3 linked regions of the Schizosaccharomyces pombe genome follow. Changing the gene in region 1 together with any one later gene gives a genetic interaction. Each region holds a gene or a part of one and is shown on either strand. Other genes may lie near its edges.

Region 1 (11,661 bases):
CGAGTTTTTAGATTCAATTTCTCGTGATAATGGCTGGTTGAAAGAAGATGTGGTTGATCAATTATGGCTTCCTAAAAGAAGTTTATCCGCTCTTAAAAAATCAAGTTCTTTGACGTCGGAAAACCCCTTTCAGCTAAATGTAGCAGCCAATGCTGTTTCTACTATTCCTGTCTATCGCACAACTAAAACCAAAATGAAAAAAAATAGATTTAAATATGTCGAAGTGGAAAAATTACCAGACCTTATCCTTGAATCGTATGGGAAAAAGGCGCCAAAGTTTTTGAGGGTGTTTGCTCGAAGTTCATCTCATATTCCAAAAATGATTAGAAGAAAAAGACAAATGGATTCCAAAAAGTATTTTTCCTTCGACAAAGAATCCGATCGCCAAGTTATTGATCAAGTTCTTTCTGATTGGTATTCAGGTAAACATGAGCTTGTTCAACAATCTCATTCTTACAAAAAGCCTTCAGATTCTAAGTCAGTTGGTGGAAATATTTTTTCTGTTAATTCTAAAAAGCATAGTGTAAATATTAACGCTAAAACAGCAGCAAATAACGGTTTGAGTCATCTTCAAAATTTTAGCGAGGAACTCTTAAAAAAAAGAAAGCTATTTTCTTCTCTTTTTTCTAATAACGTTTCATACAAAAAATCCAAAAAGTTAAAAAGGACTCATACAGTACATGACAAATGCCAAAAAGTTGCCAAATTAGACCATTACATTAGGGACAATATTGAATTAAACTCAAAGGAAAGAGAACATGATTGTTATGAGGGGACTTTAGCTGTACCCCAAGTAAATACTGAGATCCGCAAGTCTTCAAGAAAGCAGAAGGCTCAACGATTTATACGAGACGATTTTGACACCGTCTTTTTTCAATCCTCTTCAAACCCTAATTATTTTACAGATGTAAATCCTTTTTGGAATATAGGTATTTGGTCTACTACATTTAATGTCATAACTTTTAGACCGGGACTTAGTTTGCCCAACAACTCCTTTATAAAAACCCAAGGGTTAAATTCTATTCTTCAATTGGACATCGTCACACATCCTTTTAAGTCTGTTTATGCTTTTTCTTGTTTATTCAATATCCAGGATGATGTTTTTAAAACATTCGAAAAATTAAAAGACACTTTTGAGACAGTCTTAGAAAATCTTCCATACTTTACAAACTCTGAAACTGTTGACTTGTACAATCTACTTTCTTTTTGCTCTGCGTTTATTCTTCATTCTCAAGTATCAATGGGCTTGGTTAACTTGGCTTCCTCCTTTTTAGAAACCTATGCATTAGTCAATGATCGTGTTTCTTCTATATCGGGGTTGAATAGATCACAATTGGTTGAAAAAATAGCTGTGTTGTTTCAAACTTTTCAAGTTGTATTTTATTGTGAATTTGAACTTGGAAATCAGCAAAACATTAATAAAGTTTCCTGGCTGGCAAGTGATTTGATTTCAAAACTTCTTTCTGCTGGTCAATCTGGTCTATTGGAATGTTATCGGAATTTGAGAATTCAAGCTTCAGATACGACTGTAATTGACACTCTTTTTTTGGAATCTTGGTCAATTTTAAATCATATTCTTTTTCATGTATATAAGAAGAAATATGCTTTGTGGGAACAGGTGAATTCATTTTTTGATCTTCAAAAAAAGGAGTTGTCTATATTAGAAATGGAAAAAATTTGGTATGTTATAATGACGCTCAATCCCGTTTTCCAAATTGGGCTTAATGGAACGACTCATTCACCAGGAAACAATAGTTTTTGGCCACTGATAATCAGAGTTTCAGAAAGTGCATTTAAAATGCATAAGGACGGACACAATGTTAAAGTGGTTGAGCGATACCTTCGCACAGTGTTTCTTCGAATTCATTTTCTCATATCTGAATGGCGTTGGGAGGATGTGGCTCAAATCCTATTTTTGATATTCGATTTCTTTAGCCATAGAAAGTTTAATGACCTTTCTTCTGAAATATCTGAAGATACACCAACTGACTTTCCTGATTTTGTTAAGTCACTTGACAGACCTCCAAATCTTCATGTAACTGCTCTTGATACATGTTTTGTAATTTATTTAAAAGTTATTTTAATTTCTATAAGCCGTTTGAGGCAAGTAGATGAAAATACAAATTCAATCAAGAGGATAGTATCCAGATTACAGCCCTTACATTCACGTCAATACACGCGAGAAAGTCCATTCTCAATTAAGGACTTTATGTCTTTGGAACATACTCACACTCTTCTTATTTGTCTTTATTGGGCAGCACCCGAGAATTGTAGGCCCAGTTTAAATCGCATTAGGGATATTGTAATCGTCGATAATTCTCATCTTAAGGCACGTTTAATTAGTCTAAAAGCATGGCTTCACCTAATGAAGTATGTGATAAAAGAGGGAACTGATTATGAACTCGCTCAGGGAATGGAGTGGTTTAATTCCATTTTAAAAGTTACATTTGATGAATATCTTGCTCTCTTTTCAAATGGAACTTCTGTTGGTGAGATGCAATTGGCTGAATACTCGAAACATCAACTTGAAAATGCGCTAATTGTAGCTTTCCATTCCCTTCAAGATTTAATTCCCAATTCTTCAGTTTATATTAGTAGGATAAACGTTTTGGTGACGGAGCAGTCATGCCGGCGCATTCTTAAAGACTCTCATTTTTTTCCTCCTCGCGTTACTCTGGAGTGTATTTTATTTCTAAAAAAGTTTTTGCAGTATCAATCTAATACAGAGCCACCTAAGGTTACCGTTGTTGGTAGCACTTCGCATGATAGTCAAGATGCTTACTTTGATTCTGATGTGCTGGATGATAACACACTCATTTTAGAACAAGAAAAGTTTGAACGTAAATACGAAGTGGCTCAAATATTGAGAACATTTGTTTCACCCTTTTTGTATCAAACGATATCTTATCTCGTTGGAAATGACGAGGACAAAGAAAATTATATTCGTATTTTACTTTTACCATTAATGGAGTGCATGGCAATTTGTGCTAGTTTTGCTGTAGAAGCGAAAATCAATGACTGGAGTTACTATATCGATTTTGGGTCTGAGTCTTGGGAAAGGATTCGTAACACTCCTTTGAAAAGATCTCTCAGTACCACGTTTTATTCCTTCCTTATATCTTATAATGATTCTTTTATTAAAAAACATGAGGAAAAAGTCTTAACTGTATGGTTTGAATCACTGGGCGCTTTAGATGAGGATCATGCTGCACAATTTACGATTTTGTTATTACAGAAAAACCTAAAAAATCCTATTTTGCTTAATTTACCGATATCCGTCAAAATTGAGGAAATTAGTATAAATTACTTTAAGTCGGTTCACTTGAATTTATTAACAGCTGTGTTTTGCAACATGGCAAAACTGTATGCTGATGCCAAGACAAATGGTTTCGCGAGCTCTCAATATTTACAGAGCTTGTTTATTCATTACCTATCCTCTCTACTGTCTTCTATGCAGCATAGTTATGAGACAAATGGTCATTCTTCTGATACTCACTCTTTGTTTGTTATTAATTCACAACGTGTTGTCGGAGACATTTTACAGTATTGTAGTCAATTTGCAAATGATCGTAACCTTCCTGCCCTCAGATATTTTATGGACTCAACTAAGTTCCCCCAACCACCGGAGCGTCTCGAATATACGGCCTTGAGGTTACGAAGTTATGCGAGAAAAACTCTCACAAATTCAGCTTCTCAAAATGCTTTGTTTAGTTTCCTAAAAGCAAATTTTGATGTTGCTCTGCTAGAACAAAAGCAAACTGAAACTTCTAATCTTTTAAGGCTGGCTATGGGATTCCATAATCAAAATAGCTCCAGCAAATGGGATGTCGAGATTTCTTCTCTTCGGAAATTTTGTGTAAAGGAACTTTTATTGAGTTACCTTGGTGAAGGCTCGTTAGCAGCTATGTTTTATTCATTGTTACTACTGGAGGGTCTAAGCCGAACTTACAACAGCTTTAGACGTATATATTTGCAACCTTACATTCAACAGTTACTGTGTGAAGAAATTTCTGTTTTTGTGGCTGATTTAGAGAAATATGCTTTATTATATGAAAACAAACGCCCTTTACTTTCTGGGAGAATATATTACCTTATTTCTTCATTTGTGGCTATAAGCATGACAAACAAAACCAGTGGATTGCCATCTAGTTTAATATGTAACTTACAGAATTTTTTAGCTCGCATAGCTCGAGACTTCCTTCTTGAATTATGTTGGAATATTGAAGGGTCTGAGTTTCCCCCTCCTTACAATACTGTTGATTGTCGTAGCAAATTTGTTAAAACTATTCAGCAACATTGCTCAGCGGATTGGTACGACAACGTTACCAATATTGTACATAAGTCTAGGAAGAAAAAACTAGTTTTGCCTTCTCAGGTGGAACAGGAAGAAGAATACTGGTCAGGTTTAATGGAAGTTACTATTCAAATATGGAAACACGATAAAGGTTTTTTAGAGCCTGAATTAGATAGGTTTCTCAATGTAATTTGCAGTTATGCACCTGACATGAGTGGGTTACCGACAAAAATCAAATGCTTTTTGGATAAAATCGGCTATTCTTGGATGACTGAAGAGAATGATTTTGATATTGTATTGTTTTAAAAGCCAAAATTAAAAGATTTTTCAGTTGTGGTTGCTTTTGGTTTCCACGTTGTTTATTTTATTTATTTTATTTATTTTTAATATTTCATTTGATGTCTGTGTAATACACAAACTCATTTATTAATTATCTCTTGTTGTATACAAAATAATTAGACAATGAAATAATCCAGTTCTGCATATTTCTTTTGCTTAGAGCTCTTTTTTTTTGCTACTAGTACATCCATTAATGTACGTAATTTTATTATCACATGACTGTGGTCTAATTTGACCAGTAAAATATAATGTATTTCTATTATAAGCCATCTGATCAAAAATACTTCTAACCTAAGATAAAACCCAAAATCCAAATATATTATTCTGTATCAGAATAAGCAGATGACCCTTCATTTCCGCTGTCATCATTTTTGTTCGAAGAAGTAATACCTTCTTTTTTCTGGTCTTTTCTTCTTTTCTTATTTTCACGTTTCCTCCTGACATTTTCGTCTTGCTCTTTCTTTCTTTTTTCTTTTAACGCGCGACTCTGTTCGTGAAAATTATCTTGTTGCTTTATTTCCTCTTTAGATTTATGGACATGACTGTGATAAAGTACCTTTCCTCCCATCGCATCTTCAGTAATCTTGATCAATTCCAATGTCATCCTAGGGCCTATTTCAATTAACTTAATTGCCTGTTGCTTAGGTTTTAATAGTTGAGATGCCGATAGTAGATTCTCTTCAGTTTTAGTCGGTACAGGACGATCAATCTCTACGGTTGCATCCTCTTCGATTTCTGAGTCACTTGCTGCACCAGAAATACCATCACCATGTAAAACATAATCCGAAATATCACGAACATTGTGTAAATCAGGGATATCAGAGTCCTTTTTTTCACCTTTCAACAGATGTCTTATAGGGCGAGAAATACCCACAGGCTTCGTGCTAATTATGAAATGACGAAGGTCGATATAACCATCGTCGCGGCGGTTTAATAACAGAACCCGTTTAACACTATTAATGTTGGTATGTTGGACTGAAATTGGAGGAAACATATTTTGAAATGTAGTCGTTAGCAAAGCTTCATGGGGAGAGTCTTTTGACGAATTTTGATTAAAATGATTCATGACCAAAAGTGGAGGAGTAAGGAACTCTGTTGTTGGAGATTTAGGATTTTTTTGAAGTCTTCGAACATCTTTGTTCAGCATATACTCATGAATCCTAAAATGTAATGAGGGACCTCTAGGAGCCCTAATGATTCTCAAGTTCGCATTGTTGTCAGTGCGAGAGAGGACAAGAAGATGTGTAACTCCAAGAGGTCCAGCCATAGTCAAGTAATCTTTTATTTTATTAGCTTTACGCTCCTTTAATCGAATAGCTGTATGTGGTTCCATCATATGTCGAAGATCTCGAGTAAGCAAAGATAAGCTTCTACCTACTTCAGAAGCGCCCGATCGAATTACCATCTTAAATAAGAATTAGCAAAGGGACTAAAAAATTTTACAATTTTACAAAATTGCACATACCGATTTAGGAATTGCTGCTTCTTGTATAGGATCAGCTTTCAAATGCGTCCTCTTTTTTACCTATAATTAAATTAGTTTAAATAAAGTATTTCTTTTAAACTATCCATTCTCAACATACCCGTTTTTTACCAATGCCTCCCATTCTTTGTGGTTGGTAGTTAAAAAAAATTGTACACTCTCAAGAACACCAATATGCAAAGTTCATTTCCGCCAACATGACAATAAAGATGGCAATAGACATTATTTTTTTGAAAGCTGAATTTTCTATTTTAACATATCTCATTTACATGCTGTGAACATAATTTGAGCGAGAAATTTTTTATACTAGTATAGTTAATAATAATGTTATGGGCCTAGAAGTAAAAAAAGAAAAAAACACGTGAAATTGAGAATAATGACCGTACTACGAAATTATGAAAAATCTTTTATAAACACTTATTTAATCAATAATTTTTTGGAAGTAACTGATTGTATACAAAATGATGAACTTCTAAAATATACCGGTTTATTTGTCGGGCGTAAATCTATTGTTTGTACACTGACTTTGGATGATGCATATCATTAATGTAATTGTAGCTGATATCTCTTGACTTTTGTTTTGGAAATTAAACTATTTTGTATTGATAAATTAACGTAGAAAAGCACCACGATAACCTGAACCTCGCCTCAGCAGCTGTTTGTTTAACCTATGCGGAAGACCCCCACATGGTCCTTATTATCGGTTTTATGCCTAACACTAGCAGCTTAGCAGTGGTTATTAAAATGAAAGCCCCCACAAAGTACTAAGATGGGTTTGCTAGTACGGCTAATCAAGGTTGCGTAGCAACGTTTGTCAGAGGAACGAAAAGTGGTACTTTGAATGTCATTAATTTAACCGATGATTTTCTTATTTTGTTTGTAATTTCTGATGGTCTTTTACGATATTTAATTTGAAATACTGTGCTATGAAAAAAAATAATAATAAACAATAGCAGTGAACTATGACAAACTAGCTCTTATTATATAAATTACTATACAAAGTTATCTTTTTACATGAAATTTTATTTCTCGTTTTTTTTAATCATTTTCCTTTTAAATCTTTTTTTTGGGGAGGGAATTAACAGTTTAAAAAAATTTTTAACAAGGGTTATTTTTTTGGCTCCATTTTAATTAATTGTACTCTGTAAATAAAAGATTTAATAAACTCAAGGAATATAATTGACCACAGTAATGAGTATAGAGAGACTTAAATAAAAAAAAATTAAAATTAAAATTAAATCAGCCGAAATACAAAAATCCCGAGTATTTTGCATCAAACGCATATCAGAAACCATGAGAAGCAAATAACAATTAGAAATTGTGCCCAAATTTGCTAATGTATGTCAGTAAGTTACAATTTTAATTGACCAGTGGACATCCTACTAAAGCTCATTCATTCAAACACTACAATTGATTTATTAAAGAAAAAGAAACTTTTCTGGTAAATTTAGTATGACCTTTGGTTAAGGCATCAGCCAACGCATTAAAAATTATTTGATAAATGTTTATAAAAAAAGAGTGTAGCATTTTTCGGTACTATCTAGGTATTCCTCGAAACTAAACAGTCGAAAATCTCATAGCTTGAGCTCTCCGAAATTACGTTGTAATGTGCTTTAATTTCTTTTGTATATGTAGGCTAAAATAAATATACATGAAGTTTCTACTAAGCCATTCGGAGAACTCTGTTTCGATACTCCTTCGTTGGACAAACCTTTGAAAATCACAAGACATTTCTGAGTCAACAGCGTATTAATTGCTCGATAAATTTCTTTTTCTGCTTTTAGAATAAGTGCATAATAATAAAATACACTGCAAAGGAATTTTTCAAATGTTTAGGGTTATACATCCCCCTTACCTGAATCCCTTAAGAAATAGATAAATGGAAGTGCGGCGCCCCTCTGATATTATAACCATTTAAAATTATACATCTATATAATCATAGTAAAATACGAATTAGTGTTCGAAAAATACTGGATTTTCTATCCGTTCGCTAAGATATCGTACTCCCGGATGTTACCACACTTTTCGATTAAGGGAATTGCGAAGGTTACATATGCGAAACACCTGCTGGTCGAACCAACTTTAAACACCACACCCTATTATTAGTAACACCAGACGAGGAATCCGATTCCATTAAAAGAGTATTAAAAGATTCTTGATTGATCATTGCTTTTGCTGAAAATGACCGAAATTTTCGGTAAATTGCATCGATCATCAAATTCTGAGAATACAAATCAAGCATCGCCATCCACAATACAATCGCATTCAACGCAACCGGTTCTTTCCAATGACCATTCTACGAAAGTAAACGATTACGAAGGGAAAGAGGGTGCTTCGTCTAATGGCTATGATCCCGTTTTCATGTCGGATCGGATGAAGATGCGTTACAATGAGATTACAGCTCAGCTTCACAAAGAACAGGTATGTTATAATTGATTTTTTGCTTGAAAGACAATCTTCCCCATAGCTTTCTTTATTGTGTTTTTCAAAAATCACTGTCTCCATAAATTGTTGTTCACTTGGCTAACCTATCATAGTCCTTAAAGGAAGATAAAGAATCTGGTTCTAATAGTTCCGAAAGCAATGGAATTACACCAATGGGTACATATTCAGAAAAACCCAAACTACTACAGAGTCGTACACCTCCATCTTCGTGTTACATTAGGCATGATACCGTTGTGCCAAAAGATAAAAATGGTCAGCATGCTTTTGGACGGCTTTATGTTCGATTACATCAAGGTAGAGATTTGAACGTCAAAAGTGTTAATGCACAACCTTATGCAGTAATCACCTTTGAAAAAACGCAGGTTATGGTACCTCCTCCTTTTAAAGACATTGACGGTGGGATACCCATTTCCATTCCTTCTAAAAACCGTCCTCTTGCTGGATCTGCTTCCGGTTCTTCTTCTGGACTACATTCTGAGCTAATGTTGGCTGATGTGCGTTGTCCTCATTGGGATTTTGAAACTGTATTTGATGTGACAAAAATGAAAAGTCAAATGGTTGTATCTGTATATGACAAATATGAAGACGATAAATTTTTGGGCTCCGTTAAAATTACACCAATTTTCCTACATGAATATGTGCAGGAAGCATGGTATAAGCTTGAGCCTCTTGACTTAACTAAGTCTCTGGAGGGTGAAATAAAAGTGGAAACAATTTACGAGCACATTGAACATGTTCGTTATGGGCCAGAAGATTTTACGGCCCTTCGTTTAATCGGAAAAGGTAAAGCTGCTTTAAGCTAAAAAATTTACGGTATACTAACTTTATTTAGGCACTTTTGGGCAAGTTTATTTGGTCCGTAAAAACGATACCAATCGGATTTATGCTATGAAAAAGATATCCAAAAAATTAATTGTTCGTAAAAAAGAGGTTACACATACCTTGGGCGAAAGGAATATACTTGTCAGGACTTCATTAGACGAATCTCCGTTTATTGTTGGTTTAAAGTTTTCCTTTCAGACCGCTTCAGATCTTTATTTGATAACTGATTATATGAGTGGAGGCGAACTTTTCTGGCATCTTCAACATGAAGGTCGCTTTCCTGAGCAAAGAGCTAAATTTTATATAGCCGAACTTGTTTTGGCTCTTGAACATTTGCATAAACATGATATTATTTACCGAGATTTAAAGCCTGAAAACATACTATTAGATGCAGATGGTCATATTGCTCTTTGCGATTTTGGTTTGTCTAAGGCAAACCTTTCAGCTAACGCAACTACTAATACCTTTTGTGGAACCACCGAATATTTGGCACCTGAAGTTTTACTTGAGGACAAGGGGTATACTAAACAGGTCGATTTCTGGTCTTTAGGAGTCCTTGTCTTTGAGATGTGCTGCGGATGGAGCCCCTTTTATGCTCCAGACGTCCAACAAATGTATCGTAATATTGCCTTTGGAAAGGTCCGTTTTCCAAAAGGAGTTCTTTCATCAGAGGGTCGAAGCTTTGTTCGAGGCCTTTTAAATCGCAATCCAAATCATCGTTTAGGAGCAGTTGCTGACACTACTGAATTAAAAGAGCATCCTTTTTTTGCAGACATAAATTGGGACCTACTTAGCAAGAAGAAGGTTCAGCCGCCTTTTAAACCGAATGTTCAAAATGATCTGGATGTTTCCAATTTTGATAAAGAGTTTACCAATACTAATGTGAAAAATATCAATATAGTTTCCAATGTTGATCCCGCTAATGCCTCGACACCTCTATCCAACACGATTCAGGACAGATTTCGTGGTTTCACTTTGTAAGTTTATTTTTAAATATTTGACCATCAACTAACCTTAAACTTTATAGTGTCAATAAGTCCATTGATGAACAGTTTCAGAACCTGGGACTACAAGAAAACGAAGAGACAGATAATTTACATGCGTGTCGCACAACAACCCATTCATCGGTTAATTCAATAAATTCACATGGGAATCCACGTACGGTGGATGCTAACGATCCCGTCGCAGATACTGTGTTCGGCGAGACGTTCGAAGCTTGATAAGCTTGCTCCAATCAAAAAATTTGTCTCCTATTATCCACAATAGAAGATAACTTATTATGTATTATGTTCCCCTTTCGTTATAGTTATTTTGTCTCTCAAAGGCTTCGCTCCGTGTTTTCTAGTTTACCCAGGAATTAAAGCAAACTGTGGGTGTTTTGCTTTTGTTTCCTTCTATCCTTTATTATTTGTTACGTTCTATTTTGTAGTCATCTTCATATTTTATTATGTGAACATTTAATAGATTAAGTTTTACATTTTTATCCCAACTCAAATACTTGTTGCTTTCTTTTAATTATGATTGAAGGTGCATTAATTATGCAAAATGTGAAATACATCGTTATAAAAAAGAATGTAGCATTTAATAAGCAATCTTCACAATCAAGTAAATATTATGTTCCATTTCGTTCATGATACTAGTTAGACGCTAGCACCATATTTTTTCTCATAAATTTTGTCTCAATAGGAACGGATAAACATCTATCCTGTTGTTTGCATGAAGTAAAACCCCTTCAAATCTTATTGCAAATTCGTTTTTCTACCATTGCCAATACTATTCGAATAGAGGACTTTTGCCAAATAACACAACTATAAGTTTATCATGTTATTTTACATATTAAGAGTTGTATCATTTTACGTTAAATTACTTAAGGTGTCTGTACGATCTTTTTTGACGCGATTTTTCGAACTTGAAATAATAGGTCTACCTTTTACCACCATCTTTCATTATGGCTGGTAAGATAAAAATTTGTATGATTTATTGCTAATACTCTGCAGACTATAATGCTTTGGCGACCCAGTTCACTCAATTTTACTACCAAACTTTCGATTCCGATCGTTCTCAACTTTCTTCACTATACGTATGCGACTTCTAATTATGAAATTAATCCTACGTGTATTTATCTGGGCAGCTAACTTATATATATTAGAGAGAAGAGTCGATGCTGAGTTTTGAGGGAGCCCAACTCCAAGGAACTAAAGCCATTGTGGAAAAACTTGTTGTATGATAATAACTGAAACGTCTTCCTTTTTTTTATTAACTGTTTGGTATAGAGCCT
Region 2 (11,155 bases), on another chromosome or scaffold:
AAGTTGACATGCAATATTTTTTTCCTTGGTCTCGAATTCTCAGGCCGACATGGGTCGGCCGAGCTCTCCTCTCAAAAGGAGGGGTAATTGAAATGCTGGGCGGGGAAGCGGGGATGCTCGGCAAATGATATGCGGTTGTTGTTTAGTGGTAAAAAGGGGGGGGGAAAGGGAATTTTTTGGGTGGGGCGAAAACTAACAAGAATCGCAAGGAAATTTGGACATTGGAATGGAATCGGAGGTGAAAAGAGTTGAATGATGCCAGTGATAGCAAAAGTAAAAAGTAATATATGTTACTATTTGTGTCAAAAAAGATAGAATAGGCTTGGAAAACAAGACAAACATTCCAACACAACTCATCTTTCACCCACCCTTTTTTCATTTCCTTTCCTTTCATTATCAACATTAAACAATCCATTACTTCTTATCCGATTGTGACGAAATGAGGTTGTTGTTTTGTTTGTGTTCTCCCTCTCATCTCTCTTTCGATGATGTAGTTAAAAAATTAGAAAAAGAATAAAAAAAACCTAAACGTTAATCGACGGTTTAAACGAGTGAGACTGGACTTCGCTTCTTTTCTTACGCATTACCAAACTTTGATAATGGTTGCTGTAATCAATGATAGTTGGGTCATCCCCTTTCCCACCAGAATAGAGTTGATTTACCGTTTTCTACGCAGCGCTTCAAATTTCGAATTAAAATTTTTGGTTTGCCACATTATGTTTGTTGCCTGTGGACGTGGATGGGTTACTAGGGAAAATAATAAAGCAAAAACACAAACATTCGTAAAATGCGGAGTCGGTAGATTCGAGGCTTTTGCCTTAAGTTACGTTATGACGTTTAGCAAATGGATAAGGAAATGGAAATGAAGATGAAGATGGAGATGAAGCAAGATGAAGGGAGAAAGGGAGAGGGAGAGGCAAGCATGACAAGTAAAATCTCTTTCTTTTTTTCTTTTTCTTTCTTTTTTCTTTTTTCTTTTTCTTATTTTAAATAATGTAGAGTTAAGCTCTATCTTGTTTTTACTGTAAATGAGTTTGTTGTATGGTAATGAGGGATCGCTATAATGTAATAAAGTTTTGGTTTTGTGTTTCACTAATTTTTAAAGCCGTTGGTTTACTGTTTCACTCTAAATGTGTTTGACTATAACCATTGTAACATAAATAAAAATAAATCACTGGCTAACAAAGTAAAATCCAAAAAAAAAATAAATAAATAAAAATTAAATAAAATAAAATTGAATAAAATCAAAATAAAATTGAATTAAAATCTAAAAAAATAAAATAAAAATCTAAATGTAAATGTAAATTCAAATAAAAATCCTTCTCAAACTTGCTTCCTCTCTCTCTTCTGATGTTTTAGCAATGCACAATAATAGACACTGCATTTACAAACTCATTTCGATCCTCCATCCTCAATCATTACTAACTATTTATTTAATCAAATTAAATTATCTATTTTTATTTTTGGGGTTTCATTTGATATTTTAATTCATTCAATATTTGCTAATGTATTTATTTTTCGTTGCGTTGTAATCCTTATTCACTATTCAGTTTGTTATTATTCAGTCATTTATTTTCTTTTTGATTTTCCTTTTAATGATTGATTCATAAATTATTATTATTATTATTTTTAAATTTTTTTTTTTTTTGCCGCTATAATCATTAATATATTATTCTACTTTTATTGTTTCTTCTTCCTTGTTTACCTCTCCATCTATTCCTTTTACTCGCGACAATGGTTTGTTTTCCTTCCATTCAATCTCCATCCCTTTTCGCTTTATTCAATGTTGTTTCTCGTTTGCACTTTGCTAGTCCGTCGCTTCTTTTTTTATTGCTGCGACGTTATTTTATCTACGACCAATATTTATTACTCTTGATAAACCACTCTTTTCCTACTCTTATACGCCATCAATGTTTTCCTTATATCATGATCACATTATCCATACTATTTACCACTGTATTTACCACCGTATGTATACCGCTGATTCCTTTAAACAATATTACTATTAAAACAATACTATTATCACTATTTACATTATTATTCCATCCTACAATTGATATCACTCTACTCTTTTTTGATATTACCCAAACTTTCATATTATCATTAGTTTTCTCTTTCCAAGACCGATACCTTCTTATTACAGTAATATTCCTCCTCATATCATCTTATTCTCCTTTCCTTCAACCCAATCTTCCTTCACTGTAGCTTTAGCTTTCCTCGCTAGCCTTCCTTAATCTCTCCCCCTAAAAATGTTGGTCCTCCACCATCCATCACTTTTCCAAGCTGCCTTTTCCCTTTTCCAAGACTGTACGCGCTTTTTAAAGCAAATTTGAATCTTATTTATGCGCGTACTGTAGCTGAAAATCCTCTTTCACTTCCTACACTTCTCATTTTCTTTCATCACCCCATTGTTTACTTACGCGTCTACATTCATCCTTCCTTCATTTCTTTCCTCGACATGGCAGGTTCATTGTCTTCCGCCATCTTCAATGTTCTCAAATACAGTGGTATGGCTTCCTTAGCCGTTACCCTCATTGCTTTGGGCTTCTTGTACAAGTACCAAAAGACCCTCGTTTATCCCAGTGCCTTTCCTCAGGGTTCTCGTGAGAACGTTCCAACACCCAAGGAATTCAACATGGAGTATGAGCGTATCGAGTTGAGGACCCGTGACAAAGTCACTTTGGATTCTTATTTAATGCTACAATCCGAGTCTCCTGAATCTCGTCCCACCTTACTCTACTTTCATGCTAATGCCGGTAACATGGGTCATCGTCTTCCCATCGCTCGTGTATTCTATTCTGCTCTCAATATGAACGTCTTCATCATTTCCTACCGTGGTTACGGAAAGAGCACCGGCTCTCCTAGCGAAGCTGGTTTAAAAATTGACTCCCAAACCGCTTTGGAGTACCTTATGGAACATCCCATTTGTTCCAAAACAAAAATCGTCGTCTATGGTCAATCTATTGGTGGTGCCGTTGCTATCGCTCTCACCGCCAAAAATCAAGATCGCATTTCTGCTTTGATTCTTGAGAATACCTTTACTTCCATCAAGGACATGATTCCCACCGTCTTTCCCTACGGTGGCTCCATCATTAGTCGCTTTTGCACAGAAATATGGTCAAGTCAGGACGAGATTAGAAAAATTAAGAAATTGCCAGTGCTCTTTCTTTCTGGTGAAAAGGATGAAATCGTCCCTCCTCCTCAAATGGTCCTTTTGTTTGGTTTGTGCGGTAGTGCTAAGAAAAAGTTTCACAGCTTTCCAAAATGTACTCATAATGACACATGCCTCGGAGATGGTTATTTTCAAGTGATTGCTGACTTTCTCGCTGAAAATGATATCAACACACCTGCTTCTTAAGCTTTCTTTTTTTTTTTTTTGAAAACAAACTATTCTCCATTTCACCTTACATTTTTGGTTGCCAGCTTAAAGGTTCTTTTTTATTATTTTTTTCAATCGAAATTTTTTCCCTTTTCATTGGGGTTATCGAGGGCTTTTTTTCACTTGCATCCATTTTCTTTCTCGTTCTTCTTAGAATTGTCGTTTTTTTATAGTAGCCTTAGTTAGTATGTAAGTATTTGGGGTTTATAGGAATAGAATAGTACTGATAAGCAATTTTCCATTGCTTATATTTTTTTTCTTGATATTCGCTTTGTATTGTATCAACCGTTTCGTATATATATACCTACATAGAAATTAATAACTTTTGTCCTTTTTCTTAGATTCCTACTACTTTGTAAACAAACCATAATTCTTTCCATTTTTATTATTCATAAATAAAAAAAAAAACCCCCGTCAAAATGCTCACATAAATAATTTTGCTGTAACCATTGAAAACGGAACACTACTTTCCAATCAATCCTTTTTCATAAAAAGTTTATAAACATTTTCATTCACTATTCCACAGAGATGAAACGATATTAAAACCAAATACCCTAATAACAAAAATATATATCAATAATCAGACGTCAAATCCATTCATGGAAATAAACCCATTTAAAAAATATGGATCACTTTTACCACGATACTTTTTAGGAGTCCGTCTATTCTAAAAGTAATTCACCAGAAAAGATAGTACGGGTAAAACATATCGTCAAGTATCAATTAACAAGATGATCTCTTTTTTTCATGTTAAATTTTGATTTTTCTCAATCCACCACATCCACCAAACGCTCTACTCTAATTTTATGATTCGCAACACTCAAAATGGGGATACCTGGAATCTTGCGAATCCTTTGCTTCAGATTTTTATCATTGGTAGCAACTAAATAGCATTTGTGCTGCATCACACGTTGAACGATACAGTCATCGGCATACGTGCCTTTGTGAGTGCAAGGAAGACGTTCAAATCGTTCATCTTTGGCAATTCGAAGTGCAATACGATAGCGAATTCCCAATTTTTCCAATTCAGCCATTACACAGTCAGAAATACAAGGAATGGTCTTAGCGTACAGACAGGTCATGAGTCCTTCAAAAAGATCAATCTTTTGCTGAAGACAAAAGTTGATAAAGTTTGTATCAATGATAACATGGTAGGGAGGTCCTAGACTCTCATTGAACTGAAAGAAAAGGTTGGAAGCCATTTGTGGACTTGAGGGGTTAGCATCAAAAATCAATAAAGTGCTTATAAAAAAATTTACTTACATTTCTCGAACTAATTCTCCATTCTTTGTAGTTTTCTCTTTCTCTTTTTTCTGATCTTTCTTTTGCAATCGTTGATCCTTAAGGTTTATGACTCGCTTTACCTGAGCAAATTTGCGTGTAGTTTTTGCTTTACCCATTGAAAATAATTAACGGAAGAGAAAGAAGAAGTGATTTAATTTACAAGTTTCGCATTCAACGTCCAAAGCTCTAAATACCCTTTCAATTGGAAGTGCCCAAAAAAATTATTAGTTGTTCAAAGAGGGAAGCAGGCTGCTGGATGAGACTGAAGGACAATGAAGTTCAATGCATTCTTAAAACTTCCATAATGTAAAATAGTGTATCACAATGGAAGCATAACGTATTTTTAATCCAACTGATCGTTAAAAAAATAAATAGGTATATTTATATAACGATACGAAAAAATACATAATACAACTTTACGCGACATACTTTCTTGTATATTACATTGCCCAAATTATTTCTTTCAATTAACTTATTGTGGTTCAAGGGTAGAAGAGACGGTGAACCGCCCAGACATATGTAGTACGTATTTTAATATGAATTACTTTATTCACTAAAACTTCATGATACATTCTGCTAAATAGTGCTTTCCCTGCGTACCCTACAAACGGTATAGCTTATAACGAATACCAGCGTGCTATTTTAAATGATATAAGTTTTGTAAAAATGGATGAACCTTTGCATTCAACTTTTTCACACATCAGCAATGGCAAAATCAGCACGTTCAAAAAGCATTCGTCGCAATAAAAAAGTGGTATGTTGTATAGTATAGACAAATGAAGGGATTGAATGTCTTTTTTTTTGGTTTCGGAAACGGTTTATGTACAATGGAACCGTCTTTAAAACAATTGCCCTTCTCATACCTCTTTATCGATTATCTAACAAAGTAATAGCTTAGAGAAAACGTTTTTCAACCCGTAATTGATGAGCGGACTAAGCGTTTGTCTGCGCACTTACGTGACCAGGTCAATGACCTTACAAAGTCATCCTCTAGCAAAGAAGAGGGAATCGCCGATAATTCCTTGAAAGAAGTCAGCAGTTCAGAAGTATCCGATAACGTTGGTATGGAAGTTGATCAGCCTAAAGTCTCTACTTCTGGTCCTCGTGACAACAATCGCAACAAATGGGCAAAGAAACATTTAAAGAAAGGAAAGCGTGCCAAGAACAGTAACTTTTCGAAATTTTTGAAGAAAAAGTAAATTTAAGTTCACCATTTAATATATAAACTCCGAGATCTTTTTAAGAACTAATTATCAATCTTTTTTCTCAGATTTTTTTCCTTGGGATAATTTTATTTTCAAATTTCTGGTTTTCAACTGGAGACGTTGACCGTGTTGCATAAGGATTTTGTTTGCTTTTGGGGGGTTTGGATTATTTTATATTATTCTTTATAAAAACATATTTTTTTCCAATAATGAATATTTTGTTTCAAAGACTTACTTTTTTTCACGATGAAGTTTCTATATTGTTGGAATAAGTCAATTTTTTAATTTTATTTTTTATATTTATTGTAATTAAGTACGATGTAACTAATAACGTCTCTCTGTCTCAAAAACTGCACTTTTAAATCGTGCTTTTTGCTTTGTTTACCACATGAAATAGAATTAGTAATGCTCTTGGTTGTAAAACCTGATTTTTACAGAAATGTAATAAAGTATGAATATCTAAATATTAAATTAATTTTATTTGCGTATTTTTTATCGCTTAAAATATAATTTTAGTTATTGTTTGTTTACAAAAGTGCACATGGTTATGATATGCCTTCACACATACATTCCAATATTGTTCTACCACATAAACAAATAGATTGACATTCCATCTGATTTGAACCATCTGCATTCAAAATCGCAATGGAAGAAAAGGAGAACGTAAACTTGGTGGAAAAAAGCAATTATGTTGCACTAGAGGTATGCTCTACTTTGATTACCAGAAGATGTTTGTAACGTTTCTAACCCTCAATAAACAGAACACACGAGAAATAGATGTTTTTGATGAATTCCTTAATGCAATTGGAAATGAAAACACCATTACACCGGTTTACGCCGATAGCTCATTAACTCATTTGCGCAAAAAATCGTATGTAACATAATAAATTTAACAAATTACCTATGTCACAAAGGTTCAGAGAATCCTTTGGATTATTAACGGGGTTTCTCGAAAGAAAAAAAAACATCGTCTGAACCTTTGCAGCAGTTTTGCTTTTATGCTAACTAACTTATTTTGCATGCAGCTATACTAAAGTAGTTCATGACTGTACATATGCTCTAGTCATCAATCCGTATGATAAAAAAGTGATATGGAGGAGAGGACTAGCTTATTTGCGACTTGGACATCCTCACTTAGCCAATCGTGATTGGGAGCATTCACTTGAACTGGACCCAAACAATACATACATCCAAAAATCTCTTCATAGATTAAAGGAAGTGTATTACATTTACAGAGAATGTGCAGAAACATGGCAGTTAAGACACCTTAGAGTTGCTTCTTCTCAGCAATTACCTGTAGGATTGCGAAAACAATACCCTAATATAATTCGTGGCAAGATCTGGTGGAAGAAAGTGCACGACAATTGCCAATTGTGTGGACAGCAATGCGAACTGAAAAAGGAGAATCTTTCAGCAATGCGGTCTATGCTTTACATGGCAAATACTTATGCAAAGGATGATACCGAAAATCACTCGCCCAGCGCCCAAATCGGAATAGAAAGCTCGGAGGACGAATTAGAAAATAAAATAACTAAGGGAGAACACTCTCTATTGGTCCCAGAGGAACTGTACAGATCCAATTACCCATGCCCTCAAAACATAGATCAGTTTCTTTATATGATAAAAGTCCTATCTGCCCCCTGTTTGTACATTGAAACGTTTTCATTTCCTATTTCCACAATTAATCAATTGTTCAAAGCTCATGGAATGTCGGTTGAGCAGTTAAATTTATTCTTAAAATCAATACACTATATCGGATTGTGTTCAAGGTTTTGCAAGCAATGGTCCGACAAGGCACGATCGCTGATGCAAGCGTTGAGTGGGCTGCCGTGGTTCAGTTTTGTCGTGCAACATTGTTTACATATAACGGCAGCTCAAATTCTTTTGCATATTCCTGACATCCAAGAAGAAGAATTCAGAAACTGGCATGTTTCCAAAAAACCCATCAACAATACTGATCTCTCTTCTGAATTTGAAATTGCAGAGATCCCAATCAATTGCTACACATGATAACATTGATGACAATAAATTTTTGTATGTTAAGTCAGTCCAGAAACCATCGATGCAATCATTTGGAGTAGAAGGCATTAATAACCGTGTGTAGTTTATGAATAACACATTCATTGTATATCAACCTCTTATTTTCAGTGCTGAAATAATCATTATCAACCACATGAAGCTATATATTTGTGGGCAAAGTAGAAATGTTTGCCATTTTGTTTACCGCCGGATACACCAAGCAATGAAGACAGTCATCGACCCAATACACAAGTATTGTCCGTCAAATGTTAAGTGTAATTGTTAAAGAAATTGAACAAAATGAAAGAGACAAAAAAACTTTCAAGACAGTTTTGTGTTGCACACCAATACTGCCGTTTCTCATACTCTGAGTATATGCCATGAATCGCATATTCACGATTTAATCAAAATAAAAAAGATATCCAAAATATCTACATCTCTGTTACTAAATTGCTTGTTTATTTATAACAAAGCCATTTCACAGATACACAGCCAACGTGGTAAAGCAACCCTTTTCTCATAATCGCTACAACAGCAAAAAAATATATGTCTAATGCAGGTTTTTCAATTTTCTATTATCTCTATTAACTAAACGTTCATTTCATACAATTTTATCGGTATGGCAAGGTTATGGTAGTCTACAAGTTGAAAACCGCAGAATGAATCGGCTATTATATGCTTACGATGAGGATGACGTATTCCATATGTTTGTGTTACGCTGCACACACTATGACGGTTTCCCAATACTCTTCTTTTGACCTTAGCTCTTTACATAAATTCCAGTAAAAAAGCGAAGAAAGCCGTTTTTTTGTGTTTGTTGAAAAACGATACGTTGGTCCTTTTGGTGTTTATGTTTTTGTGCTTGTATTAGAATAATAGATTGTATAGAGGCTTGTCATCGTAAAATTGTTTCAAAGGCGAACGCCAATTTTAACATTAGAGCTTGCAATTCTTTAAACGAAGCACCATTACTATTCTCTTCCTTTTTTTTGTATTGTTTTTCTTTTATTTTTTACTCTTTAGGGTGGATTTAAAGTTGGGCACCCCTGTAGGAGTATTCTAAATTTGTTGTTGTGAGAGTAGTTTATCAGGTGGATTTATATTCTTTTCGCTTTTCTTCCTAAGATCTTTAGTATCCTTATTTCCTCCCCTTTCTTTGTGAGTATATCGTATAGGAACAGTTACGTTACTGTTGTATGAATATTAGACGGAATACTGGTTCAATTTCTAAAGATGGATTCTGGGTCAAGAGTAAACGTCAACATTCAAGGGACTCGAGTTCTCAAAAACAAGCTGGGAAAAATTCCTGACATCGACATATCTACAGATGGAAAGTACTTATTATCTGCATCAACGAATGATGTTCTGTTAGTTTGGGATTTGCACACTTCCAACAAAGTTGCGTTCTTTGAAGCACCAAGCGTATGGATTATGACTTGTGCATTCTCACCCTCCACTAAGAGCATAGCAGCTGGAGGGCTGAACAACTTTTGCGTAGTATACGATACCAGTGTTCCAGATGCGGATCCGGTCGAATTGGTTGGGCATGCAGGATTTGTTTCGTGCTGTAAGTATGTCGATGACGGTCATTTGCTTACGGGTTCTGGCGATAAAACTTGCATGTTTTGGGACATAGAGCAGGCAAAAGCCATTAGCGTTTTGAAAGGTCATGAAATGGATATTGTCTCTCTAGATTTCCTACCCTCAAATCCCAATTTATTTGTTACCGGAGGCTGTGACAAATTAGCCAAGCTCTGGGACCTTCGGGCTGCTTATTGTTGTGCCACATTTCCCGGAAATACATCGGATATTAATTCCATTTCCTTTTTTCCTTCTAACGCTGATTTTGTTACGGGTGCAGAGGATGGTATCGCTCGGTGCTTTGACATTCGTGCTTCTGCTGAGATATTCCAGTATTCATCTCCATCATCCTCCCCCATTAATTCAGTCTTATTTTCCAAGTCTGGAAAACTTCTTTTTATCGCAAAAGATAAAACATGCGAGGTTTGGGATTCCATCTCAAGCAAAACCATCACATCATTAACAGGCCATGAAAATCGAATTAGCTCTTTAGCTTTAACTTCTGATGGAACAATGTTGGCAACTGGCTCTTGGGACGAATGTGTTCGTCTCTGGTCTTCGTCAGGGTAAATTAATGATTTTTTTTCTCCTTTTTTTTTTGTCTTTGGAAATGATGATGTTTGTTTTGTTTTTTTTTCTTATACATTTACGTTTTCGATTCTAGGAGGTTGACTGCTTCATGTCCCACTGGTTTATTATTTTTCTTAATTTTTTATACGTTTATGCGTGGTTTCGTGATGCTTTACTGATAATGTATTCATAAACCCTTGTGTACTAATTCCCTATTTTTTTCGTTACGTTTCTCTTTTATTTCTAAACAAAAATATACCTTTTCGAAAATTTCGCCTTGCAAAGGTTGGCGCTTTTTTATTACTATTTAATTATTGCGATTTTGTAAACGTTTAATCCTAACGATTACCCTTTAGTCTTTTTTTCTTAAAGGTATTTTTCTTCTTACGTATGATAATAAACTTTTTTATAAATGTTGTCTTGCTGTTTTTTAAAACTTATTTTTATGAAAGAACAACCCAAATATTAAATTCTTTTATTAAATAAAATTCTATGTATGTATACTACGAATTGAAAGAAACTGTAAATAGCTATAATACAAAGAGCGTAAAGTACCCGTATTCGCTCTTATTCATCTAAAAATCCCCCCATCACCGATGCCCACTCGTTAATACAAGAACCTGGCTTAGTTTCATAATCGGGTATGTTGAAGGGGCAATCACAATTACAACCATATTCTTGACCACAGTGTTGAATTGTGGAATGTTGATACCCAAGGTCTCTAAAGTAATGGACTTGAGATCGATTAAGGAGAAGACCCACTGCTAGCGAATGCACCGGAGCATCGCCCCACTAAAATAAGTTAGTAATCAGAGATAGGAAAAAAGTATGAAGAAGATTGCACTTCGAAGAACACAATGCTTTTTTTTTTTTGAATAAACTGTAAAAACATACCCTTTCAGTCCAAAATCCTCCAGCATTTTCCAATGCGTCGACATATTCATTATACTCTTTACTATTGTAAAAGTCTAAGCGTGCAATTTCGAAGTTACTCCAAAAATGGCATAGATTATAAATCTGGCCATCAATTCGGTTTAAAGGGGGCTCCGGTAAAACGTAATATCCTTGATCTTTTTGTTCTTCTTTCAGCTTTTTAATTCTCGTTTCATAGCGTTTA
Region 3 (9,244 bases), on another chromosome or scaffold:
ACAGAGTTTTATAAATCGCTGGGAGAGATCCAAGAGTTTCACAAAAAATATCCTGATCATAAAGTTGAGGATCTGAGTCAATTATATTCCATAAAGCCTTCTCAACCCGGGATTGACGAGATTGACACGTTATTTCGAGGTGAAGAGATGTATGGTCGATTTATGGATCTTAACGAATGTTACGAAGAATATATAAACTTAAGCAATGTACAGCATATTTCTTACTTAGAATATTTGAAAAATTTGGAGGATTTTGATCAAATCCCCAAGCCTGAAAAAAATCAAACATATATCAACTATATAACTCATTTATACGAATACTTGGTGTCCTTTTATCGCCGGACACACCCTCTGTCAAACTTGGATAAGATTATTGCGGTTTTTGATACTGAATTCGACGCAGCATGGGAAGCTGGACTTCCTGGTTGGTATTCACACAACGCTGAAGCCGAAAAAGATGGGAAAGACTCGACGGAAGCATTTTATTGTGAAGTTTGTCAAAAGTTTTTTGGGAAGATCACTGTATTTGAAGCTCACAAAAAGAGCAAAGCACATAATAAGGCCGTTAAGAGGATGCAGTCTTCTAGTCCATCTACCACAAGTAATACGAACGAGAAGCAAAAAGGACCTAAAGCGATTGCCCGTATCGAGTTTTTAATAAAAAAGTTAACGTCTTTGCTTGACGATGTTCGAAAGGATACTCGTGAAAATGTTGTTCGTCGACAAACTTTGACGGCTGCAGAACGTTTGGCAGAAGTAGAGGCTGCGGAAAGAGAAGCCTTTGAACAATCGACTCCAAGCGTAAGTGTTGAGGGAAATCAGGATGAGGAAAGTGATCAGGATGATGAGGAAAAGATATATAACCCTTTGAAGCTGCCATTGGGATGGGATGGTAAACCTATTCCATTCTGGCTTTGGAAACTCCATGGCCTTGGTAAAGAGTTTCCCTGTGAAATTTGTGGAAATTACGTGTATATGGGTAGAAAGGCATTTGATAAACACTTTACTGAACAAAGGCACATATACGGGTTAAAATGTTTAGGAATATCACCTTCACCTTTATTCAATCAGATTACTTCTATTGATGAAGCTTTGCAACGTAAGAAAAAAATGATTGTATTTGGTGAGTTTATGTTACTAACGAAAATTTTTAGTTTGGCAAAAGTACAAGGTGGACTCAAAGAAGCGGGAAACCACAATGGCGTCTCTCAATGAAATGGAAGATGACGAAGGTAATGTGATGTCTGAAAAGGTTTACAACGATTTAAAGGCCCAAGGTTTATTATAAATAACGTACATGACTCAATTTTTGTAGTCGTGTAAGTGTACATTAAAGAAATAAAAAATTGATATTTTCTTCCTACTTGAGTTATAAAATGCTGAGCATGCTCCTTTATTCTTCTTTGCGTTACATACCGAAGCAAACGAAAAGAGAAAACATGAAAGCTAAAAGGCATACTATTTTGAATTCTCGTGACACAGCATGTTTTGATCTTTTATTTCCCCCCTTTCTTTTTGATTGCGAAATTTTTGATAGTTTCTCATAGCACTGCTCAACGATAGATCTCCTCCCGGCATTTTGACGATCTAAGGCCCAGTTGGGTTTGATTGAAATTCTAGAGTTCTGTTATCTTTTACGTATACGCTTCTACGGGCTAGTTAGTGTTTGATGTAGCAAATGCTATAATTTTCTCAAGCATAATAAAACAATGAGTCTTGTGCATTATCACCGTATTAAAAAAAAAAAAAACTAAAACAAATAAGAATTATTTCAGCTAGAAACCAAATCCAACTCCTTCATAAGAGATAGTGTTGTTAATACATAAAGTACATATTTTATATAAATTTCTATATATCTTTTATCCATAAACATAATTAAATGACACTTTTAAAAACCCATTAGTATAATATAGGCCTTATTCCGCTTTGGTGCGTTATTATATATAGTGCATCGTAAACTACAACCTTATAAAAAGTGCGATGCATATCCTCTGTCGTACCCCACCTCCACCAAATGCATTGATTCGCTTATGGCTATAGTTTAAGTAAAAATGGTTAATTATTGGAGCTCCTTTGTCCCGCCAACCAGAAAACCGCATATAAAAATAGTTCCGCTCCACTGCTCTGTACATAAAAAAAACCATACACTAAGAAATTGTACATTAGTTAAAGATCCCAAAAAAAGCATATTTTACTTACGGGCTGATTTCAATTTAAAACAAACTCGAAAAGTAAAGGTGCATCAGTTAGTAGATCTTACCTCAGAAAAAAATTAAAGAAAAATCTTACGAGCGGCCCAGAAAGAAACTTTTGGTTTTCTTAGTTCTTGAGAGACAAAAGTTAATAGCTAAAAGAAGTTAGCTAACTTTTTTGATTTAAAAGGGTCATTCATTCTTTTTTTTTTACTTAGTTCACGTAAAATTTCATAAAATTTAGGTATCCTAAATGAAGATTTTTGAAAGTTGCCACTTATTTCAATATCCTTTTGAACAAGTTTCAGCGGCTCACTGGCAGAAGTATCCCAATGAGCATGCTACTCATGTGATAGCCGTGGATACTCTTGATCGCAAGGTTTTGGATAATGGTGTATTGTATACGGAACGCTTGATCACGTGTCACCAGGCCCTTCCTAGATGGATTTTAAAATTGATTGACGGTGCGCAAGATTGTTATATTCGAGAAACTAGCTATGTTGACTTGAAAGCGCGCACTTTAACACTTTTAACCTCAAACTTGACGTTTAGTGATCGTTTGAGAGTAGATGAGACGGTGACTTACTCACCCCATCCTGAACTGGAAGCTACTGTTTTTCAACAGGAGGCTCGAATTGAAGCCTTAGCGTGTATGAAGCGGTTGTCAAACCTGATCGAACAATGGTCGGTTGATGGTTTTGGAAAGAAAGCTTCCCGTGGAAAAGAAGGCTTCGAAAGTGTTTTAGAAAAAATAAACATGTCTGTATTCCAAACGCGACCGTTTGGTTCTTCTGAAGCGACCGCATAGACTTTGTTTCTTGATTCAACCTCTCTCTTTTTTCAAAAGTTTAAAGTTATCGGTTACGAAATAATCTTTTCTCCGTCAGTTGGCTTGCGAAATGTTGCAATAAGTCGTCTTTTAGTTTTCTGTTTCTCGTAATATTACTCCTCTAACCTATTTTTGATCCCCTCTCTTCTATTCTCGTTCTTTTAATTAAAAACTTCTTCAAGTTGATTGACCATTATCTATGTCTACGCTCAAAGATGTTTGTTGTTTTTAAAACAAAATGTGTGTCATATTTTTGACCAATACGACTTATAAGCTTTTTCCAAACATGTGTGTTTACAACTTTTATACCATTAATTTAATCGTCTATTTCCCCAAAAAATCGTGAATGCACAAATGATGATGCGCTATGTTAATCGCTTGCTTCTTTCTCCCCATGGAATAGGCTGCTTTCAAATCATCTATCTGAAAATTAAAAGGTTTATTCTTTCTTAAATGCAATATCTGTTTTACAAAACAAGATTGGACATCCACTCCTTTTTTTTTTTTAAAATTTAGTTAATATAATAACATTCATATAACAAGCGCCTAAATTATCATTGCTTGAATTATACAATTAATACATTTTGCATTCATGTGCAATTCGCATTTAAGTGTAATACGAAATCTGTAGAATTTGTGGCCAAGAACCAGTTTTCTTAAAAACTAAAAGAGAATTGTACAACCTCTCGCAATTATTAGTATTACCCATAACGTACTGAATAAAAGGAACGGGACTTTCTCTTTAGTGCCTGTCTCCTATACTTACCAGCCAACTTTAGTGAAGCGGAAAGTGTTGTCCCGGAGTTTCATCCGTCTTCCAACCGCTACCGACACTCTTCAATATAGACTAATTTTGATCGCAATTTTGATCTTTTTGGTGCTTCTTTTGTTTGATTTTTGTACCGTTGAAAGACGTCTCACTTTTGAATTTTCTCTTGTGGACTTTACCAATGAGCAATTGGCCTAAATTTACAATTCTAATATTTCTCCTCTGATCCTTACTCCCTAGTCGTTCGTTTTTAATTACTGTAAGATTTGTTTAAAACATTTTCTATTTCCTATTTACATTAACGCTTATGATTCAAGTCAAGGTTTTTTCAACGGCTATATAGTTTTGTATGTCTAATTAACTCGCACGCTTTGAACATACTGTATATTTTATCATTTTATAGCTTTATTCTTCTCCAATAGTTGCCATCTACTCTTTTATTACCATTTTAACCAAGGTATTTTAAATCATTTTGGGTTTTTTTTGCATTCTTGTACTTAGAGGTTACTGGAAGAAGATTTTAATATTTCTTATTTATCAGTTGTCGCGAAATTCCGTCAACAATTTACTCTGACATTTTTGGGATTAACGAATTTTTCTTTGAGAAATTCAAAATTTTATAGTTTATTGGATTTTTAATTTCAAGTTTCATTTACATTCTAATTTCTATCATTTTTACGATTGGTTTGTCATCTATTATGTCAATTTCCAATGATTCTTTGGCTTCAACCGTTCCTGGCGACGAACTTCCTTCCTCTTATCCAGTTTTTTCTTCCGACTTTTCATATATCAAACCATCTCATGTTCTCGACGTAGTAACTGTTACTAGCACAGCTGGACCCGAAGCAACTGATGATCCTTCTTACAGTGGTTTTTATTCAACTGTTATTTCAACGCAAAACCCCGAACCAACATCTGCTTCTACTCCACCCTCGGCAAGTGCATCTTCTTTACCAAATGGTGCTCAAAAACATAACCATACAGGCGTAATTGCTGGTCCCATTGTTGGTGTGTTAGGTGGGTTAATTGTTTTAGTGATAATATTCTACTGCCTTCGTCATTTTAAGAGGAAGAAGTTCTTAGCTGAGCAGCAAGAGTTTGAAAGGCAGTTTGAAGAAGAAAAATCTCGTCTTGCTGCTGTACGAAAAAATACTGAGCAAGAAAAAATGGGCTATCGTGGTGGTTATCAAATGCATTCAACTCCTTGGGCTTCTTCACCACGTAATTCGACTATACCTCAACGGTCGCAATCTTTTTATAATGACACCAGGCGCTCAAGCGATTTAGGAGCCAATGCTGCAGACTTTGTCACACCTCCTGGTAATGTCGCTAACTCAGATAATATTCGCATACTTAAACGGAATTCAATTGCAACTATTGGAAATTATCGTTCTCCTAGTGCTTTGGAGAAAAGGCGTTCTATATCGTATGGTGCAGTTCAATCCGTTCAAGGAAGACCCTTGGCACCAATTCCAGGAAGGCGACCCTTATCCATATCTTCGGATTTGTATAATGACTCGAATTCTGGGTCACATTCGAACGATGATTCTGATGAGACGAAGTTAAAACAAAGTTCAACTGAATCATCTAGTGAGTTGCTCGATGAAAAAGATAAATTTGACAAAAACAGTTTGAATGACCCCTTTGTTACAATTCGCAAGTCTTCCTATGAGCATGAAATTTCGGAAGAGCATAAAAAACATTCAAAGAAGAGATCAGAACATTTTTAAGGAATTGCTGCTTAATGGAGTTTCCAGCTACTACTAAGATATACTAATGACTTTTAAACTAATCACGTATATTTGATATCTCATTTTTTTTCATTTTCACTGCATTAAATCATAATACTGGTTGTTTTCATATTAGATGGAATAGAAGGTTTTTTTAACATTTCTGCTCAATTTATACAACTCACACCGGAAGGCAACTTTTGGAATTAATTCTAAAGGTTTTATCAATTAATCTTTTAATTTTTCAAATTCTATTTGCATATGGCCTTTGCAAAAGAACTTAATAATACTGTTTCTTATACTCTTTTAATTTGCTACTCTAAACGTAAATGTTTACAAGAGTTTATTTCGCATAAATCTCAATTGATAGTTCATCAAATTAGATATATAATTATAAATAAATTGTTAAGCTTCTCTTCAAGCTTGTAAATGTAAAAAGTTCATTCGGAGTTAAAATTTTTTTGGTTCCATTCCCTGTGGAGGCTTTGTTTCAAATGTTTTGCTTTTCACATCTTTCCAGTTAGTTGATAAAGCAGTGCCGTTACTTTCTGTATAGCTTTTCATCATAGCTCTTCGGGTGTCATCATCGGCGTTCTTGTACAGATTTTGAAATAAGTTAGCCAAAGCAGCTTCTCCAGTAGGTTCGTCTTCTTCCAAATCTGCCAGCTTTGCTAGCGAATCCCAATCCTTCGCTTTATTTTTCGTATTACCAGAAGCACTTGAATGGTTTGAATCTTTAGCATAGACGTTCACCGAATTGTTCGCCGGACTCTTAACTAAGGCCTCCCATTTTATCTCGCTGACTTTCTTAATTAAGGTAATTTCAACCTTACTTGAAAATAATTTGAATGACGATTTTTCAGGAACAATTTCTTCATACAGAGGATCTAAAACCAAGGAGAATATTGATCCATCTTCAAGCTTAATTTCTATTTTCAACTAAAATGGTTAGCCGGACGGTTTAGCTTTGCACAGTCCTTACAGTGTTCTTTTCCATTAATAAGCTCACATCTTCATCTTTGACTTTCTTCGCATATATGTCGATATTTAGGGAAAAAGACGTTTGGGACCAGTCATAACGAATTCTATTTGAAAGTTTTTCTTCGTTTTTTTCTATTTGGCCTTCCGGCGCCTTCAAGCTCATATTAAGGAACTCTTCGTCTCCTTCAATTTTGGCAGCTTCTAATTCCGGAATATTTGGACATTCATCTGGAATGAGCGATGAGGTGTCCTGATTCTGTTGTTCGTGAACGATCGTAAGCATGCTGTCTAGTTGAACTTGCCATTTTGTTAAATCTTCTTTTTTTAAATGTTTTAGGGCAAATCCAAAACATATGGCAGAACTTTGATATTGCTCAAGTAAGTAATACGCAAGCCTGTAAAACATAGTCAGCAAATTACAGAATTATAGGAATTTAGAAATCGTATTTACCCTCTTAGAGATTGACAATAACCAATTAAACCGGTATCGGATTTCTTTTTTGCCAGCAATAAAGCCCAATTAGCATGCTTTAGACAACTAAATGGTTTGTAGGTATTTATGCAAGTTGTAAAACACTTGATATGCTCCTCTATTGAGAATGATGGTTCTTTTACGATACATAGGTTTCTCTGCTTCGCCAAATCATTTGACAGTTTATCAGATAATTTGAAAAGGGAATCATTAATATCAGAAAGATCTACACCCATTTTATGGTTTTGCTTGTAAAACGGCGCAGAAGCTTGGTGGATTAGAAATTGAAGGTGGTGATAAAAGCTAATGCCCAGTGAAAGCGTGTAAGGAATACAGATCATCAAGATTATTATTATATGTAAGATGGACCAAACATGGGTTGATAACTTAATAAAACACCAATTTAAATGAGTTTTGGCTATGGGTTTCATGTGAATATTTTATCAAATGTTACGATTACAATTATTAACAATAAACATTACATTCTGCTACAATATGAATCACTGTAGAGATAAAAGAATACATTTTGGAAAAATTTGAGTATAAAAGAGCGGGCGATTATCGATTTTATTTAATCATACGCAAAACAACAAGTAAATAGTAAGATATCATATAATGCGAAGCGTGCTTCGCAAATTTTGAAACAAAGACGTCATTACGCGAATGCATTACTATTTGCCAGAATATATCAATTTATTGATTGAAACAAAATTGCTTGGCTTCTAGTAAATGGCACCGCTAACATTCAAATTGGAGGTTTAAAAAGGTGATGTATAAACAATTATTTCATTCTTATTGCTTGGTCCATACCATGGTATTGAGCACTACCATTAGCTGGTGGATGATCGAGTCCCAAGATATGTGACTGTGGTTCAAGTTCTCCATAGAGTACTTCATCATCGTCGGTAAGATAATAAGGCTTTCCAAATGACTGGGCCTGCAAAACTGCAAGCTTGACTTTCGAGAACTGGGTATCGTTATAGCCCAATCGTTTTTGCAGCCGTTTTTTTAGGTCTTTCAAAGTCTCACCACGAAGTAAGACAAAATAAAATGGGATATCATGCAACCGTGATAAGTCTTTGAAAAAGTGTTGTACTACAATTGACACTGCATCATCAGTCTTTAATTGCATTTGTTCTTCTTTGGGCGTGACTTCAACATAAGCAGTGGAGAATTCATTTAGATCATATATTCCATCCGTGGGTAGATGACTTTTCAAAATCCGGTGATTGTAAACTTCATAAAGACGAAGTCTCGAAGCATCTTCAGCATTTAAAGGTACTTTTTGAGTAACCTGTCGAAGAATGTCTTCCACAGTTCCTTCCTTGTCAACATAAAACTCCATCTGAGTTTCATGCGAAATACCATTCGACAGGAAATGCACCCGGATTAATTGCTTACGCTCCAGTTCACTAAGCGTAATGTCCAAGACTTCATAGAACATAACCACATTTTGGTTATGAGAGTAGGTTGATGGTATCGCATTTTGTAAGGTAAATTTCGAAGGGTTACGAATTACTGAACGAGGAGTGCGCGAAGGTAGATGTGCCATAGTAAACTGAAGATAATTAGGATCGACATTAAGTTTATTGGCCACTGCTCGAGCCATATCAGTATAATTGGTATGCGTTGTAAGCACCAAATCAAAAACACCATTGTTGGTATCATCGGAATAACGAGGCTCAAAAGTAATTACTACTCTATGTGCCATGAAATCATAGAGGTCAAGAGCTGATTTGTAAGGGTGAGAGGTGTCCGATGAAGAATCATGGACCAATTTCTTCTCAAAACATATAATGTCTCCCACTTGGATCTCGGATTTTTCAAAACTAGCATTCGGATCCAAAACATCAACCATGCCGGTTTTAATTTCTTCATAATATGTGATAGGAACATCAGAAGACCACTTTAAATGTTCACGAATCCACTCTGAAAGTGAAGAAATGGGGCTATTCTTTGAAACATGTAGGTCGGCCAAACCGGATATTTGCTGAGTTTCATAATCGAAAATCTTCAGAAAAATGTAGGTGTCGAAATCGTTATCATCCGTGGCACCAAAATCCGCAAGTAGCTGATTGTGTTCACTTAAGAATTCCACATAAACTCTCATATCCATGTCTTTACGTATATGCATATCACAGATCTGATCAACGAGTATAGTCTTTTTATCAAGTGGAAGGTCAACTCTAACAGTTCGATTTTGGCGATTCGTCATAAGCCAAATACGAATACCACTTGTGTCTCTATTAAGTAGTCCAGCAAGGTGCTTTT

The links.
Region 2: of sck1 (region 1) and git5, extra expression of one rescues a mutant of the other (dosage rescue), as found in Schizosaccharomyces pombe (one study listed by BioGRID).
Region 3: of sck1 (region 1) and git7, extra expression of one rescues a mutant of the other (dosage rescue), as found in Schizosaccharomyces pombe (one study listed by BioGRID).

The regions. Positions count from the first base shown.
Region 1 is NC_003424.3:2,401,243-2,412,903, reverse strand, and holds sck1 (serine/threonine protein kinase S6K family Sck1), read left to right. Parts: upstream 1-8,200; 5' UTR 8,201-8,297; coding exon 8,298-8,537; exon of another isoform or gene 8,538-8,653; coding exon 8,654-9,344; intron 9,345-9,393; coding exon 9,394-10,360; exon of another isoform or gene 10,361-10,410; coding exon 10,411-10,603; 3' UTR 10,604-10,888; downstream 10,889-11,661. Other genes in the region: mus7 (DNA repair protein Mus7/Mms22), read left to right, coding at 1-4,600; SPOM_SPAC1B9.03C (ribosome biogenesis protein), read right to left, coding at 4,953-6,038, 6,099-6,158, 6,217-6,240; nuclear import protein Nxt2, read left to right, coding at 11,332-11,338, 11,381-11,463, 11,533-11,604, 11,657-11,661. UniProt on the Schizosaccharomyces pombe protein: Protein kinase that is part of growth control pathway which is at least partially redundant with the cAMP pathway. Required for trehalase activation.
Region 2 is NC_003423.3:1,455,206-1,466,360, forward strand, and holds git5 (heterotrimeric G protein beta (WD repeat) subunit Git5), read left to right. Parts: upstream 1-8,643; 5' UTR 8,644-9,120; coding exon 9,121-10,038; 3' UTR 10,039-10,540; downstream 10,541-11,155. Other genes in the region: SPOM_SPBC32H8.15 (uncharacterized protein), read left to right, coding at 1-128; bem46 (palmitoyl-(protein) hydrolase), read left to right, coding at 2,459-3,358; rRNA endonuclease Utp24, read right to left, coding at 4,147-4,588, 4,643-4,779; ribosome biogenesis protein Llp1, read left to right, coding at 5,370-5,417, 5,557-5,862; mug93 (TPR repeat-containing protein), read left to right, coding at 6,514-6,570, 6,630-6,739, 6,894-7,878; putative alpha-1,2-mannosyltransferase Omh5, read right to left, coding at 10,606-10,830, 10,933-11,155. UniProt on the Schizosaccharomyces pombe protein: Beta subunit of the heterotrimeric guanine nucleotide-binding protein (G protein) involved in glucose-induced cAMP signaling.
Region 3 is NC_003423.3:858,786-868,029, forward strand, and holds git7 (SGT1-like protein Git7), read right to left. Parts: upstream 7,245-9,244; 5' UTR 7,210-7,244; coding exon 6,953-7,209; exon of another isoform or gene 6,897-6,952; coding exon 6,503-6,896; exon of another isoform or gene 6,460-6,502; coding exon 5,971-6,459; 3' UTR 5,870-5,970; downstream 1-5,869. Other genes in the region: U2 snRNP-associated protein sap61, read left to right, coding at 1-1,099, 1,155-1,288; phosphatidic acid transfer protein Ups2, read left to right, coding at 2,446-3,000; SPOM_SPBC36.11 (uncharacterized protein), read left to right, coding at 4,489-5,520; ubiquitin hydrolase Ubp15, read right to left, coding at 7,755-9,244. UniProt on the Schizosaccharomyces pombe protein: Involved in cyclic AMP (cAMP) pathway, possibly by participating in the assembly or the conformational activation of specific multiprotein complexes.